Linked DNA regions of Alligator mississippiensis. The protein of the gene in region 1 purifies or fractionates together with the protein of each later gene. This does not show direct contact. Links are inferred from orthologs where the notes say so. Each region holds a gene or a part of one and is shown on either strand. Other genes may lie near its edges.

Evidence for each region.
Region 2: the proteins of CSNK1D (region 1) and GAPVD1 purify together in Homo sapiens (affinity purification with mass spectrometry; 5 studies listed by BioGRID and IntAct, counting the BioPlex papers as one, with this or other methods). This does not show direct contact. The link is inferred for Alligator mississippiensis from reciprocal best matches to the Homo sapiens genes CSNK1D and GAPVD1.

What each region holds. Positions count from the first base shown.
Region 1 is NC_081831.1:124,416-132,173, forward strand, and holds the start of CSNK1D (casein kinase I), read left to right. Parts: upstream 1-4,675; 5' UTR 4,676-4,690; coding exon 4,691-4,832; intron 4,833-7,758. UniProt on the Homo sapiens protein: Essential serine/threonine-protein kinase that regulates diverse cellular growth and survival processes including Wnt signaling, DNA repair and circadian rhythms. It can phosphorylate a large number of proteins.
Region 2 is NC_081835.1:66,455,660-66,463,340, forward strand, and holds the start of GAPVD1 (GTPase-activating protein and VPS9 domain-containing protein 1), read left to right. Parts: upstream 1-4,605; 5' UTR 4,606-4,710; intron 4,711-7,681. UniProt on the Homo sapiens protein: Acts both as a GTPase-activating protein (GAP) and a guanine nucleotide exchange factor (GEF), and participates in various processes such as endocytosis, insulin receptor internalization or LC2A4/GLUT4 trafficking.

The sequences.
Region 1 (7,758 bases):
GTGCGTCCGGGTATGCTCTGCTGTATGTAGCTGCTCTTGGCAGAGGTGCTCAATTACCGAGGTAGGTCCCAATAAAATGGTGAACTTTTTTTTTGAAGAACTTGCTTTGGCTTTTCTTGTACTTGTCCAGAGATCTCCTGGGCGTAGCGTGTGTGCATCAGATGACCCCGGGGTGGGCACCGCAGGGCTCGGAGGCGAGTCTGGCCCGTGGAGGGCCGCCCGTCCCGCCTGACCCGGCACCCCGCGGCAGGGCCGCCCCGCTCCGCACTCGGCGGCAGGAGCGCCCCCAGACCAGCCATCCGGACCGGCGGCGGCCAAGCAGGAGGTGCTGCTCGGCACAAAGGAGCAGCGGCCCCGCAGACTTCTCCGCTGCCAGGCCCTTCTTCCTGCAGCCCACGGCCAGACCGCCCAGCTGCGCACAGCCCAGGCACGGACTCCAGGAGGGACACGCACTGCGCATGCGCTCTAGAGCCCGGGCCTCCCAGTCACGCGACGGAACTCTCGAGAACGGCCATAAACACGCATGCGTACTTGGGAAGAGGCGGTGCGTCACGTTTGCCCATCAATGGGCAAAGCAAGTACGCATGCGTGAGGCGCTTATCACTTCAATAGTGAATAGCTCGATGGTACTGACAAGTCCGCATGCGCAGTAGTCTCAGACGTAACACATCGACCGCCGATATTATGGATTGTGCGTACATCCTGTCAAATACCAGACACTGGCAGAACAGGAGCCATGGATGGGTTTCCATGGTTACAGAGGCTCAATGCGCATGCGCACTGGGAATGACCGCTAGGCTTCTCCGGAGTCAATATTCGGGGCAGGGATGAACCCCCCCGCAACGTTTCTCCCGACCCGGAGCTTCAGCCACGCCAAGTACGGAACTGGCGTGTGGGAAAGCAGCCGCCACGTTAAGCTATCAGTGGGGGACACCCACTGCGCATTCATGGTACAGAGTGGGCTCCCCATAAAGTGCCGAAAGCGTCTATATCAGACCACGAAAACACATGCGCACTCAGGAAGAGACGATGCATCGCGTTTGCCCATCAATGGGCAAATCGACTGGCCACGCGCGGGCTGCTGAAGGGTTGATCAGCTGGGCTCCGAATTTATCGAGGGTTCTGGATCCTGCGCATGCGTACTGGGCGCTATCAAAAAAAACCGCGATCGCGGCGCATGCCTCCGGGGAATTTGCGGACGCTATAAGACCAAGCATCAGAAATAGATTTCCATGGTTACAGAAGGAATGACGACAGGACGAGAGCCAAAACTATCAAGGCGCGGGTCTCGGAGCGCATGCGCACTGGGAATGAGCGCTACGGACAATACTGGTGGCTCCGGGCCCACAGCGGAAGCCACCCGGGGCCGCGGCACCAGCGTCGGGGAAAGTGAGGCGGCATTAAGCCATCACTTGGGGGGGGGGTGGGACCCAGTGCACATGCGCTGTACAGAGCCAACTGCCAGTCGCGCGAGGAAAACATCGACGAGCATCCATAAGCACGCGTGCGCCCTAAGGAAGAGGGGGGCTATCTCGTTTGCCCACTAGTGGGCAAACCAAGTACGCATGCGCACGGCAACGAGTGGCTGACTCGTGCTTGTCAGTGTGCATGCGTAGTGGTCGCAGTCGAAGTGCGCCGAACGCCAATATTATGGATTTGCGCATTCGTCTTCGAGTCATGGTTTTGTTTCCATGGTTACAGAGGCGCTGATTAGAGGACCAGCGCGGAAGCTCGACAAAAACATCGATGAGGGGCCATGAACACGCATGCGTACTTAGGAAGAAGTGGCATATTGCATTTGCCCATCTATGGGCAAAGCAGTTGGGCATGCGCGGTGCAAGGTTGCGTGAATGGAACACTGAATTGAGTGATGTTGCTAGTAAACCCACATGCGTAGTGATCCCAAACGAAATACATCAAGCACCGAGACTATGGATTGGTGCATGCATCATTGGAATACGGGAGCTCTGCCAAAGCAGGAGGCATGGATGAGTTTCCATGGTTACACAGGCAGTGATGACAGGACCAGTGCCGAAACTATCGAGTTGTCACCTCCAGGCGCACGTGCATTGGGAGCAGGCTGCGGCAACCGAACGCCGGCACCATGGATTTGTGCCGCAAAATGCACATGGGGAACGGAGAGTGATGATGAGGCCAAGCACTGAAAGTATCTATGGGTGAGATCAAATGGGCAGGGTAAAACGGGGCAGGTGCTGTGGCCGAGACCCAGGTGACCCCTACAGGCCCAAGAGCAAGGAGCGACCCCGTGCAGAAGGGGCCAGGGCTGCATTTACATCACATGGAAGAGCCTGAGAAAGTGCAATAAGAATCTGTTTCTCCAGCCTTTAATAATATAGACAAGACTGAAAACCAGTAACTGCTTTCTGGACAGGTGGGAAAGAGCAGCTCAAAGCAGCACCTGATGTTTGGTTTTGTGAACCTGCTGGAAATTAAACTAGGTCTGAACAGCAGAGTAAAACACAACAGGGCAAAGAGCATTCCCAGGCACACAAGGAAAGAGATGAGCAGTGCTCCTCTATTCCAGAGTTGTATCGGACTCCAGGGACACAGGCCCCAGCACATTGGCATCTCCCAAGCCCACAGAAAAACAAGTTCACTCACATTCCCAAAGTTTCAGTGAAACACATTTGCATTACACCTATTGCTATCAGAACAGTGATTTTAAAAACCCACATATAAATTTTAGGTGTAAATGCAGGGAAACTTTACAAAGACTTTTGCAAAGTGGAAACAACCTGCTGTTAGCCTCCTCCCTCCTGCATCTCCCCAGCTGGTAGAGGTGAGAATCTGTATTGTGGTGTTGCAGGTAACTAGGCAGGCATAGATAGAAGTATTTATTCTTGTGCTTTGAGGTGTAATGAAAAGGTTGAGTTATAGACCTGTCTCTTGCTTCTCCTTCTGGCTTGGGTGGTAGTACCTTACTTGTTAAGAGGGAATGGAAGGTCCAAGTTGATGCACTTGCCTTTAAAAGGCTGGTGTTGCACAGAACAAACTTTGGGGCAGGGGCCTTTCATGGAGGTGGGCTTTCTTGCTCCCCCTTGTGTCCTGATGCCCCCATGAGCAGATAGCTGGGGAGAGGAGAGGGACAGGAGGGTAAATAGTGTTAAGGGGGGCTTGAGAGGAAGACTGGTAGCAAAGGTGTAGAGGCAGCATGCAGGGCTTGAGAAGGTGGGTCCCCACCTCAGATGGGACCCTGGATGGCATGGCTCTTGCACTGAGACTGTGGAAAAAGGTAGTCAAGGACACAAAGGTCCCCCAGAGACAGCAGAAGGCCACAAGGTTGGGGTGGGGCCAAGGAAGGTTTTTTGGGGGGCAGACCCATGGGGTGTAGGGAGTCTTGGGGGTGGGGTGAGGGCCTCCTGGGGGTAGGCACTGCTGCCCTTAGGGTCCCAAGGAACTGAGCTAGTATGGGGAGGGGGCTCTGATGACATGTTAAGAGGATGAGTGGGAATCCCAGGGCCCCCCAAAACTTAGGGTCCCCAAAGGTCAGTGAGGGGCAAGGCTTCCTGCAGTGGGGTGCAACTAACCCGGGAAGGTGGGGGTGGGGCAGGGTGAGGGCAGCCATGAATGCTGGAGCCCCAGTCTGGTCTGGGGGGCCCTCCCCACCATCCCCACTCCCAGCCTGAGACCCATCCTGTACCCTACTACTCCTCACCTTGTTCTGAGCCTTCCTAGCACCCTCCTCTGTTGGTCAGCACCTGCAGCCATAATCCTGGCCTGCACCCCCTGCTCTCTGACCCCCCACCTAGACTTCCCTCAAGTCCTGTCCCTGCTCACCACCGCCTGGGTCTCCCTTGACTGCTGCCCACCCCCCACACCCGACAGGCGTTGTCCTGGTCGCTGCCTGTGCCCTGCCCCATGTGCCGTCTGCCAGGCAGGGGCTGTTTGGAGGGGCCGCTGCCCGCACTGCAGGGCCTGCCCCTGCAAGGAGGCGAAGGCCCCAAGGACGTCGCGCCTGAGAACAGCCGGGACTGGCCGTGCTTTGGAAGGGGCTGAGGGAGCCAAGCTGAGCCCGGCCCGGCGTTCCGCCGCCGCCGCCAGAAAACGAGGTCTGAGAGTGTGGTGCAAGCAGCAGGTGGGGGGAGGGCTCGGTCCCTCCGGTTCCTGGGCTGGGCTCGATCCCGGGCTCCAGGGCTGGGAGACTAGGTCATCCCGGACGCGCTTTTGTGCCCGGGCCCAAGCGCAGCGGGTCGGAAGGTGGGACCCGCGCGCCGGAAGCGGCCGGAAGCCCCGCCCCGTTGCTACGGAAGTGAGGTCACACAGCATGGCGGCTCAGGCCGGGGGCCGCTGAGGAGGCGCCGGGCCCCCGGGAATCCGCGTCCATCCTCCACCTCCCTGGTGCCGCGCGCGGTCCCGGGGCCGCGATGGTGCCGGGCGCCGCCAGTCTCTGAGCCGCGGGCCGCGCCGCCGCCGCCATGGAGCTGCGCGTCGGGAATCGCTACCGGCTGGGCCGGAAGATCGGCAGTGGCTCTTTCGGGGACATCTACCTGGGTAGGCTGGGCCGGGCGCGGCGGCGTTGCGGGGCCGAGGGAAGCCTCTGACTCGGCGCGGCCCGGGGCACCGATCGCCCGCGCCGTTCCTCCCCTGCGACCTTGGGCGCGGCGGCGCCCGCCTGGCCCGGCCGCCGGTCGCGGGGCCTTGCCGGGCCTACCCGAGTCCCCGGCGGAGGATGACTCGGGACCGCTCCGAACGGGCGTCCTGCAACCGGCCCGTCTTCCTGCTTGGCCGCGCCTTACCCCGGGGTGCGCGGCCTCCGGGAGCGGCTCCACGCCGGAGCTGCAGGCAAGGGCCTGGGGGCGACACGAAACTCGGTAGGAGCCAGCAGGGTGCCCTTGTTGCCAAGGCTGCTCACGGCATCCTGGGCTGCATTGCTAGGAGCGCTGCCAGCAGATCGAGGGCACCATTCTCCCCTGCTATTCGGCACTGGAGAGGCCACATCTGGAGTCCTGTGTCTAGCTGTCCACATCCTTTCTGTTGTGGGGGGCCCACAAGTTGGAGAGTCTAGCGGAGGGCAGTGAAAATGGTTCAGGAGCTGCGGGACAGGACCGGTGAGGAGAGGCTGAGGGAACTGGGCTGATTGAGTCTGGAGAAGAGAAGACCGAGGGGATTGAATAGCAGCTTCACCTCCCTGCAGGGGGGCTGCAAGGAGGATGGAGCTGGGCTGGTCTCAGTGGGGGCAAATGACAGAACAAGGAGCAATGGGCTCTAGGTGCAGCAAGGGAGGTTTAGGTTAGATGTAAGGAAAAACTTCCTTAGTCAGAGGGTAGTAAAACACTGGAACAGGCTCCCCAGAGAGGTGGTGGAGTCTCCATCCTTGGAGATTTTCAAGACCCAGCTAGACAAAGCCCTGGCTGGGATGATGGAGTTGGGGCTCGTCCTACTTTGTGATGACCTCCCTTCTAGCCCTAACTTTCTGTGATTTCTGTAAACTGCTTTTTTTGGTATAAACCCCCCACCCTGAGGCAGTGATCCCTCAATTTTGATTGAGGCCACTGTACCCCGTTGCTAATTTAAATGTTAAGCAAAGATTTTGAATGTGCTTAAGAGGAAGTCAGAATGACTTGGGTCTGTCTGAATTTATTTTATGTAAAATAAATGTTTATATGTAGCACGTTGTCTTGGAGGGAGGGGAGTTCTTGAAAACTGGGGTAGTTTTCAAAAGGTAAGTCAGAACAACGCTTTTTCTTGTCTTGACAGTGACAAAGTAGCCATAGGTCTAGTTATTTTCTTTTTGAGCTCTTTTGTGCATGTGGTCAGTGTAATAGATTTGCCTACAAACTATTAATTTTTTTCTCCTAAGCCACATTTTTAATTCAAGAGGCTGTATGTAATCAGAAATAACAGCTAAATGAAACTCTCTTTGCAGGCTCTCAAGGTTGCTTATCCTTGAGTAAAATGTGTACTCAATGAAAACTCCCTGTTCTAGCTGATGGCCTATGAACTTGGGGGGGTGGGGAGAAATTTGGGGGCTGTTTCAACGCCTCGTGTATAAGGCTGAGGAAAGTGGTGTGTTGCTATGTACATGTTATGCCTGTATTTCAGAACTTCCATTGGCTGTCTTTGGATTTCAGGCTGCACTTTACAAACGAGAGAGAGAGCACCTTAAACCTGGTGGCTTGGTGCCTACCGGTCTAAAAAATGGTCTGCAGAGGGAAGTCAAATCAGGCTAAGTCATGTGTGAATGTAAAGTAATAGCTGCTCCTAATGACCTTCCTCTGGATATTGTCTACACCACACAAACAAAGAGATTGTTCCTCTTCCCACAGCATTCTGCAATAGTTTCAGATCAACGGAGGCTTTTGAGTTGATATATAAAAGGAAACTGACTTGTATCTTTCCATTTTTGTGGTTCTTAACTATGGGAACAAAGATGGAAGCAGAGTGTGGGGATGGGCAAGTATTTGTATCGCAGTACTGTACTAGAGCTCTAAGGTATGAAGCTAGCTGCAGCACTACAGCATTAGTCCCATATTTTCTGTCTTAGACAATCCTTAGAGGGCATTGCTTGCAGTGCTTTCTGCTCGAGGGTCCTTCACCTTCAGATTGTGCTCCCTTTGGGTCCCAAATGACTTAAAACAGCCAATCTGAAAACATGATGGTTAAAGGAAGTTACTGTATCCAGCTAATGATGTGGATTTTTTTTTTTCCAGCAAAATCTAGTGGGGTTTTTGTCTGTTTGTTTGCTTGCTTGCTTGTTTGTTTTCAGGAACAGCCCTTTGGTGACTATCCTGAATTCCTAGTTTAAATCTTAATTTGTTTGACTACTTCTTGTTCTGATAGGGTGCTTAAAAGCTCACCTAGATGATGTTCAAATATGTTGACAAAAACAACAAAAAATCTGAGCCTTTCATGTTGGCAAACTTTTTTTTTTTAACTGGCATGTGCTAATTTCTTCCAACCATTTTAAGTAGGGAATAACAATTAAGAGTTGTTATATTAAAGGTTTTAACTAATCTATTTTCTTATACTGGTTCACTGCCTAACCATAGATAGCTTTTGATATCCTTCAGCAGATGTTAACGTTTCATCTACGTTACTGAGTTGGCTGTGTGTGCGTGTGCGCCTTCCATTACCCCTCTGCCTCTTTCCTCCCCCCAGTCCTTTCCTAGTACACAGTACAGGATATGCTGGAAGAGTAAAAAGAGTTGGGGAGGGACTCTGATGCGAGTGGAGGAAGGAGACTTGCCCAAATGTGCCTTTAGGGAAGGTAAGCAATTCTGCCCCAGCCCCCTGTGCTATTGTATTTCTGCTCCCCCCCCAGCTGTAAGGATTTAGAAGAGTATCCTGGTGACTACTTACAGCAATGGATTCAAGAAGTAGAATTTCAGCCGTACTTAAATTTTTTAAGTGACTTTATTGAGAACAAATTTGGGGTTTAATATGCCTAGGCCTTTGAAATTAGCATCCTGATAAGAAAACAAAACTGCAGGGGTTCTCAAATGTTTTTTAAATTGTACAAAGAATGTCCAATATAGAAAAAGAGAACAGTAGGAATAGTAAGCTGTTCTAATATTTGATAGGTTAGGCCAAAACTGGTATAAATGCTACAAGCACATAGCTACTTTGTGGCTTCTGCATACTGTTTGCTTTGCTAGCGAAGACTCCTAACTGTAAACAGCTAAAATCAGAAGGAGAGCATCTCAACATATTTCAGCCCTTTTTCGAAGTGAAGAAATATTCATGCTGTCACACTTCATGACAAATTATAGAAATTTTTGACCATGTCAAAGTAATTTT
Region 2 (7,681 bases), on another chromosome or scaffold:
CATTTGACTAAGTCTCTGGTTTGGGAGGTTTCTGGTTTAGCTAAATGAATGTTATATTTCATTCTCTCTGTCATTATTTATTTCTGCTGTCTGTTCACATGTTTGTTGATTTAATCTTTTTCAGAAACTTTAGGTTAATGATGGAAGTCGCTGTATCTAACCTTTGGAGCAGTGGCTGTGAACCGGGGGTACGTGAAGCCTCCTCGGGGGGTGCGTGAGATATATTTCATACATTGTCTAACACAGGTCGAAGGGCCTAAAAACTTAATTTCCCATTGCAAGGGGGTACATGAAGTCTCACTCTGAGCCCAAGGGCTACGTCGACTGAAAGAGGTTCAGAACCGCTGCTTCAGAGGAACGTTCTCTCTTGGTGTGTGCATCTCCCAGGAGTTGGTCCTTTTCAGGGTACTTGTCTTCTCTCCTCAGCAAACGTTATGTAGATAAGCGTGCTGTATTCCTCTTCCTAAATCGCATGCTGGGGCTTGATGATGCTTGTTCAGTTCCCTAGAGGGAGCAATATCATAATGCCAGCGGATATTCTGGGTTACTGTTGCTTGGAATACAAGGTGGCAACTGGCTGTGTTGTACCTGATCTTATCAGGGTATCATTTGCTCCGTAGTTTTGTTTGACTACTATGTCTGGTCATTTTGTTCTATTTATTACATTTTTTTCTAAAATATTACCCCAAAGCATTTTTCAGATATTTAAAAATAATACCAATTAATGAGGGTTTCTTCCCCAGAAAAAAGCCCAAAGTTAAGAGGTGATGAGTTCACAAGAAGACTGGCACAGAGCGCTTTGGTGGTGGTGGACATAGTTATGGAAAACCATTGTCCATCATAGCAGGTGGCTTGCATGGAGAACTCCAAGAATAACCCAGGTACCGCTCTCTCATGGCAGTCAGTCTGCCCCAATGCTCCAGTGTCCTAGGGGATGTCAGTCCTACGGGGTGTTATGCCAATATTTGTGAAGAGCACTGAAGTCCTTGAGCATAAGGTTCTTAGTGTTAAGTGATCTTATTATTCATATATAATTATTGCTAGCGGTTCCATCCTTAAATAAGGCTGGAATAGAGATGCTGAAATAGAGATACTGACTCAGATACAAGGATTAAAAATCCCTCCACCTTTTCAGAAGAGTAGATGTTGCCTTGACCAAATTTCATGTGAATTCATACATTCCAGCAGCCTGAATTCTTCCTGCTGTTTTAACTAGGTGCAAGATTCACTTTGGGAAGGAAGGAGGGATGCTGTCAAGGGATTAAGCTGAGGTTTGGGGTTCTGAATTCTATCCCTTGCTATATGAATAATTTCCCTTGTGATCGTTCTTAAACGATTTAATCATCTCAGGCCTCAGCTTCCATCTGTAAAATGTTGCTGACAAATACTTTTCTATCTCACAGGGCAGTTTTGAAGTTAATTTAATGTCGTAAAGCTCTTCAACTCCTTGGATGAAAGGTGCTAAAGAAGGGGGAAGTAACATACTAGTATTATTATCGCAGTCTGGTTATTACTTATGTCCTACCCAGAACAATTACAAAGTGCGGGTGTTCACTATTAAACAGCTGCTCTGTTCCATTCCAGAGGTAACAGAGCTGACTAATCCTGCCTTCCGAAGGGTCCCAGACCATTAACAGCACCACTCCAATGTCTGCTGTCCGCTATATGGCTCAGGCTGTTAAAGACAAGATTTTCTCCACTATTTGTAAAAGCACTCAGAGATAAAAGGTGCAATGGAAATGTAGAGATTATTGAAAGGTATCATAAAGAGGACTGCTGGTTAGCTAAGTGGCTCTGCAATAGACTTTACCTGTATAGAGGCAGAAAACAGAAATGTGATCTGTAATGAACAACTGATTTTTCACACTTCTTTTATATTTAAGGGAAACATGACAAAAGCCAGTCTACCAGCACAGGAGACTGTACTTGTTATCCTCCAGTCACTTCACCTCAGGGAGAGGTCTTTTCTGGACCGTGTCCCCAGTTCAGAGATGAGTTGCTTTTCAGGGTGCTAGTTCTTCCTACAACCCAGATGTCTCCAAAAATAGATGGGAGCCAGGGGAAAGTGAGCAGAACAGGTGGGTTAGCAAGTGCTAAATAAAGAAGGTGTTACGGTTGCCATTTAAAATCACCGTAGTTGGGGGAAGGGAAGGAAGAGTATAAATCCACTGACTCGGGTGGAAGGAAGCGTATTGAAAAAACAAACACAAGATATGCAGATGCACCATGTAACACAAGTTAAAAAATGTAGTTTGCTCCTAACTGCTGCAGGTAGTCTCAGTTTCCGTTATAAGACAAGATTTCATATATTCAGCCTTTCCAAATTGAGAAGGAAGAGCTAGTTCCTGGTCAGGTCTGTCTTTTAAGCACTACCTGTCAGAACCTGATCTGTTATAACTTATTTAAAAGTAACAGGATCAAGCTGCCTCTTCAGAAAAAAGTGAGGATGTCTTGCTTCTAAAGTCAAGAAACACTGAGCTACAGGAATAGTAGCTGGAAACGTCACTCACTTGATTCAACTGTCTCAAATCTTGCCCTTTACTGTACTGTAAGTGATAAAGCTCTCTATGCCACTTCCTCACCCACCCAAAGAGGCTGCTGCAGAGGTCTGCATGGCTCGCTCTCTCCTAGCTTGAAAAACACGTATTAAAAATAATTTTCCAAATACTGATTAATTAGACAAAGTAATTTGAAGAACTTTTATCCTGTCTGAAGTCCTGGTTCACCCAGATTTACAATATCTAAAGATGCACTGAATTTAACTGCCACCACAATAAAAAATAATAATGACTTAAAAGGCAGTCAAATCTCTTCCTCTCCTGTCCCATCTTTGCGTCTCTTTGTGTGACCCGTCAGCTCAGTCCACCATGGCACGTTGCCAGCCGTCATCTGTTATTTGCCCCTTTCACACTGCAAAATCCATCGCCAGCTTTGGGTACCTTCCTCACCCACTCTCTTTGCTTTCTTGGGGCTGAACTGTTCTGAAAGGTGTGGGCTTTCATCATTACAAAGCTCTCTCATCATTTCTTTTTCGTGGGAAAGCTGCTCTGCAGCTACACTCCCCTTGACTGCCAGGCCCATAGAACCAGGCACCTTTGAACCCCTCCATCGGCCTCTCCCATGCAAGGTCTTGCCTACATCTAAAAGAGAAGTTGGACCAGTTCATCAAGTCGCATACAAGCTCTTGCTTAAGGTGCTACTTTGGTCTTTGAAGCCGGTGACAGGATATGTTGAAACTATCTGAGACCACTTCTTCTGTTTTCTGTTGTGACAGCCAGATGGACCAGGACAGCCTCCCATGCACCCACAGTAGCGCAGCCACCCATCCTATTTTGCTGAAGGCTCTGGTTTTTGGAGCTTCCTAACACCTGAAACCAGGGTGTGAAACCGTCCTGACATGTTTAGAAGTAACATCTTGTACAACTCATCTCTTCGCACAGGCTGCTCCCCAGTTTAAAGCGAAGGGCCTAGCAACAGCGCTCAGATGATAGCAGCCCTCAGTGACTAAGAGCTGAGAGGGGAGGTGCTGGGGTCTTACTGCAGGTAGATGTCCTTGTGCCCTGCAGTTATGCAAAGGATGCCTGGATGCCAGCCCCGTCCGAAATTCGGAGGGGATCGCTCTACATCACTGAAATGCTAACCTACAGAACGTGCATGTTAGAGCGTCATGGGCGTGAGCATTTGAATTCAGTTGTTTGCTCGTGCCTCGGGAGCAAACTGCTTGAAGTGAGATGGTTGCTTTGCTGCCGTGGAAGTTTCCTGTCTTCAGATAAACCGATCCCTGTACAAGATTGCAGCAAGCAGGGGAAGAAGAGCACAGATACCTCTGCAGACAGGCCTTACTGATTGATTGCACGGGAGCCAACTGCTGCTGGACTTGGTGGTTCTTGAGCGGGGACAAAGCTTGATCCACAGCGCACGCTGGAGCGCTGCTAAACCGTCCTGTTCTGCGTGGCACAGGTAGTAGACACACGTGTCTTGTGCCGCACGAAGTGGGAAGGCAAAGGCGGGGAGCTCTCATCTACTGTCATCGCAGCATAAAAACCAGCGGAGCGGTGCAAAGCCCGGTAAAACCTTGGCACGAGAGCTGCCCCCCTCGAGTCAGACCCCAAAGCGGGAACAGCGGCGGGAGGGGCCCGACCTAACCGTGCGGAAACTACGAGTCCCGACAGCCCCCGCGTGCGCCTTCCGCATGCGCAGTGCTGCCTGGCTCGTCCGGGTCTAGGACTACGGCTCCCGCCAGCCCTCGCGCGCCCCTCCCGCATGCGTAGTGCTGCCTGGCTCATCCGGGTCTAGGACTACGGCTCCCGCCAGCCCTCGCGCGCCCCTCCCGCATGCGCAGCGCGGCCCTGGCTGGCCCTGGTATAGAACTACGGCTCCCGCCAGCCCCCGCGCGCCCCTCCCGCATGCGCAGTACGGCCCTGGCTTGCCCGTGTCTAGAACTACGACTCCCGGCAGCCCTCGCGCGCCCTCCCGCATGCGCAGTACGGCCCTGGCTTGCCCGTGTCTAGAACTACGACTCCCGGCAGCCCTCGCGCGCCCTCCCGCATGCGTAGTGCGGCCCTGGCTCGTCTGGGTCTAGGACTACGGCTCCCGCCAGCCCCTCCCGCATGCGCAGTGCGGCCTGGCTCGTCCGCGCTGAGGCGGCCCGTGAGGTGGCGGAGCGGCCGGGCCGGAGCTGAGGCGGCGGCGGCGGCGGCACAGGCACAGGTCGGCTAAATCACCCCCCCCGCCCCCGGCCCCTTCGCGGCACCTCTCCCCCGCCTGGGACCCGAGCCGGGCCCGCCCCGAGCGGGCTGCAGTCCCCGCCGCAGCGCAGCGCAGCGCGGCCCGAGGCCCGGGCTCCATGGAGGGGAGGCGGCGGCGGCGTCCGTGCTGCGTGCCGTCCCCGCCCTGCTGCTCGGGCGGCGGCGGTGGCGGCGGCGGCGGCGGGGCTGCTGGAGCGCGGCCAGGCGGTGCCCCGCGCGCGGGCCGGGCGGGCTCGTCTCCGCGCTCGGGGCCCGCCGCGGGCCCGGGCCTCTGGCCGCGCGCTCGCCCTTCCTGGGGGCGGCTCCCCGCTCCGCCGGGCCGCTGCCGGCGCCCAGCCCGTCCTACGCACGGTTTGGCGGGGCGGGACGGGGGTCGCCCCCGCCGGTCCCCGCGGCGCTGCAGGGTCCGTCACGCCCAGGCGTCGTGCGGCGCCTCGTCCTCGCACGTTGTCTCTCCGCACACGCGCGTGGCCCCGTCTTCTCTCCGTGCCGCCGCCGCCGCCGCCGCGCTTCTCCTTTCGTTCCCAGCCACGCGTAGGACCTCTCCGTGTCGTCGCGGGGCCGCGCTCGCGCCGTACGTACCTATAACCCGAATCGTTTCCTCCCCGGTGTTTTATTTTGCGAGCGCGGCAGGCGCCGCGACGTGGCGCGGGGCGTTGCGCGCCTCGAGCGTGGAAGGAAAGCGCAGGTGCCGATGCCGCGAGCCGCCGTGGGGAAAGCCTCTCCAGTTCCTCTTGGATGGAGTTTGAGTCGGCGGAGACGCCCCGTTGCCCGTCTCTAGTTGCGTTTGTGGCTGGGTGGAAGAGCTGTCTCTAGTCCCTTTGGAGGAGCCGCCTCTTTCTGACCTGTGCCTCTGTGACGTCGGTTGTGGGCATTTCCACCGCGTGGTGTTCGCCTGCCATCCGTCGTGCCCAGCTTCCCGCGCCCGTTGTGCCGTGCGTCCTGGTCGGATTGCAGGGTTACTTCCGCTTGCTTGTTCTTGGTTACGAGCTTCAAAAAGAAAGCTCCGGGCTGTCACTAGCTGCGCTGCGCTGCGCTGCGCTGCGCTGCGCGCTGGCTGGGTGCATCGGTTTCCTGTCTTCTAAGGCTTAAGTTCTAATTTTCTTAATCCTCCTTTACTGACAGCACTCGCAACGAAACTTGAACGGGCAGAGTTAATTTCCAGAGTGTTTCTGGGCAGGTGCATGATGTTTAACATGCATGTGGGAGGCTATATGCATGTCAAGTCCCCACAGCCTTGTGTGCTGTTCCACGTAGACCAGGCGCAGGGCCGCTTACTGAGTTTTGGCAAGCCATCGACGGCCACATGACAGGCAGCCAGCAGCAGATAAATATTAACTTTCTAAATTTTTTAAGGACCCCATAGGTCAGCTAGAATGGTGTGGCGGGCCGCGTTTTGCCCACCCCGATGTAGACAGACCCTTGCATGGACATAGTGCTGTTAACGCCAGTGGGACTTGGCCCAGGGGATGTCACCAGCATTCATCGATGCAGAATATCTTTTGGAAAAGGGGACTATATTAGCATGAAATGCAAACAGACTCTCTATTATTCTGCTTCTCTGAAAAATTCTCTTTTCCTGACACACTGTGTCCAATCCATTGCAAATGCGCTTTTCCGAACTGATTTTTGTGTGGTTTCTCTTCTTGGCCATTGGTGAATTCTGCTAACAAAACCCCTTCTTTGCCTTCTGAAAACCTCCAGAAGTTTGACTCGGGGAGCTGATCCTATGTTTGACAGTTGTAACAGTTCTGAAATTCAACTTCATTTTTGTATAGGGGGTTTTGTAATGTCTGGATGAAAACTATATCTTTGTTTCCCTTGTCAGCTTTTCCTTGTGACCTTTTCCTTTGAGTTTCAAGATTTTTAGGTAACATGGAAATAACATCTTTAGAAATGAGGTTTGGAGTAAATGAAAATGATCTTCTGGGCAAAAAAGCAGTTATGGAGACTGAAAGATAAAGGTTCTCCCTTGTAAATATGGACAGCAATCTTATTTTAAAGTGTTATCAAACTCAAAGCCTTGACACTTAACAAGTATTAAAGACCTTGAAGATTGTAACCTATTCATTTTTAGTGAGTCAAAACAATATTTGTGTTTGGAGCTGGGGGATCTGCTTTCCACAACTTCGTGCGCATGTGCTATGGCATAATTTCCCCAGACTTTCAAGCTGATTTTCCTTTTAACTGTGCACTGAAAATAAATGTTTAAGTATGCTAAAATAAACTTGTGGATACAGACAAAAGTGCTGGGCTCCAAGTCTGTAAATGCAAGAGAGAGAGGAATTACAATATGGTTTAGTAGTAATTGCATATCTGTATTGATTTAGATTTATAAAATGCTGGAATTAAAAGATGCTAGTTTAAAAACTGTTAGCCTTTGACCTAGACTACAAAGGCAAATCATTACCAATTCTCACAGGCTCCTGACCCACCACTCCTGGGTGTGTCGAGAAGAATTTGACCATGTAGCGTGTGTTGAAGGTCAGCAGATCTCAGAGACTTGAAACCAGTTCCATTTGTTGATCCAGAAGTTGGGAGCCGTTCCCAAAGAGCAGTCTGGCCACTTCTCCTCGGATCCGGGGCACTCTAGTTTCTGCATTTCGGCTGGTTAATTTCCAGTATGGTAATACAGCACATGAAGTGAGACGGTCGGTTAAGAAAGTCCCACATTATTGGGAAAATTTATAGTTTCTAAATATCTCCACACTTCTTGGTTTTTGTTTTGTTTTGTTTCTTCAGCACAGGAAATGATTGTATAAGAAATAAGGCCATTTATTGAAACATGAGCTTTTCCTAGATATGGTGTATGTCTAACTAGTTACTAAGAGACCAGTCGCCATATTCAGGACATAGAAAAAGTAAGGGAATTGTCACAGAAAATTCTCTCAGAAAAGTGTTTAGTTCCTAGGCTAGATGTCAAGGGACTAGAG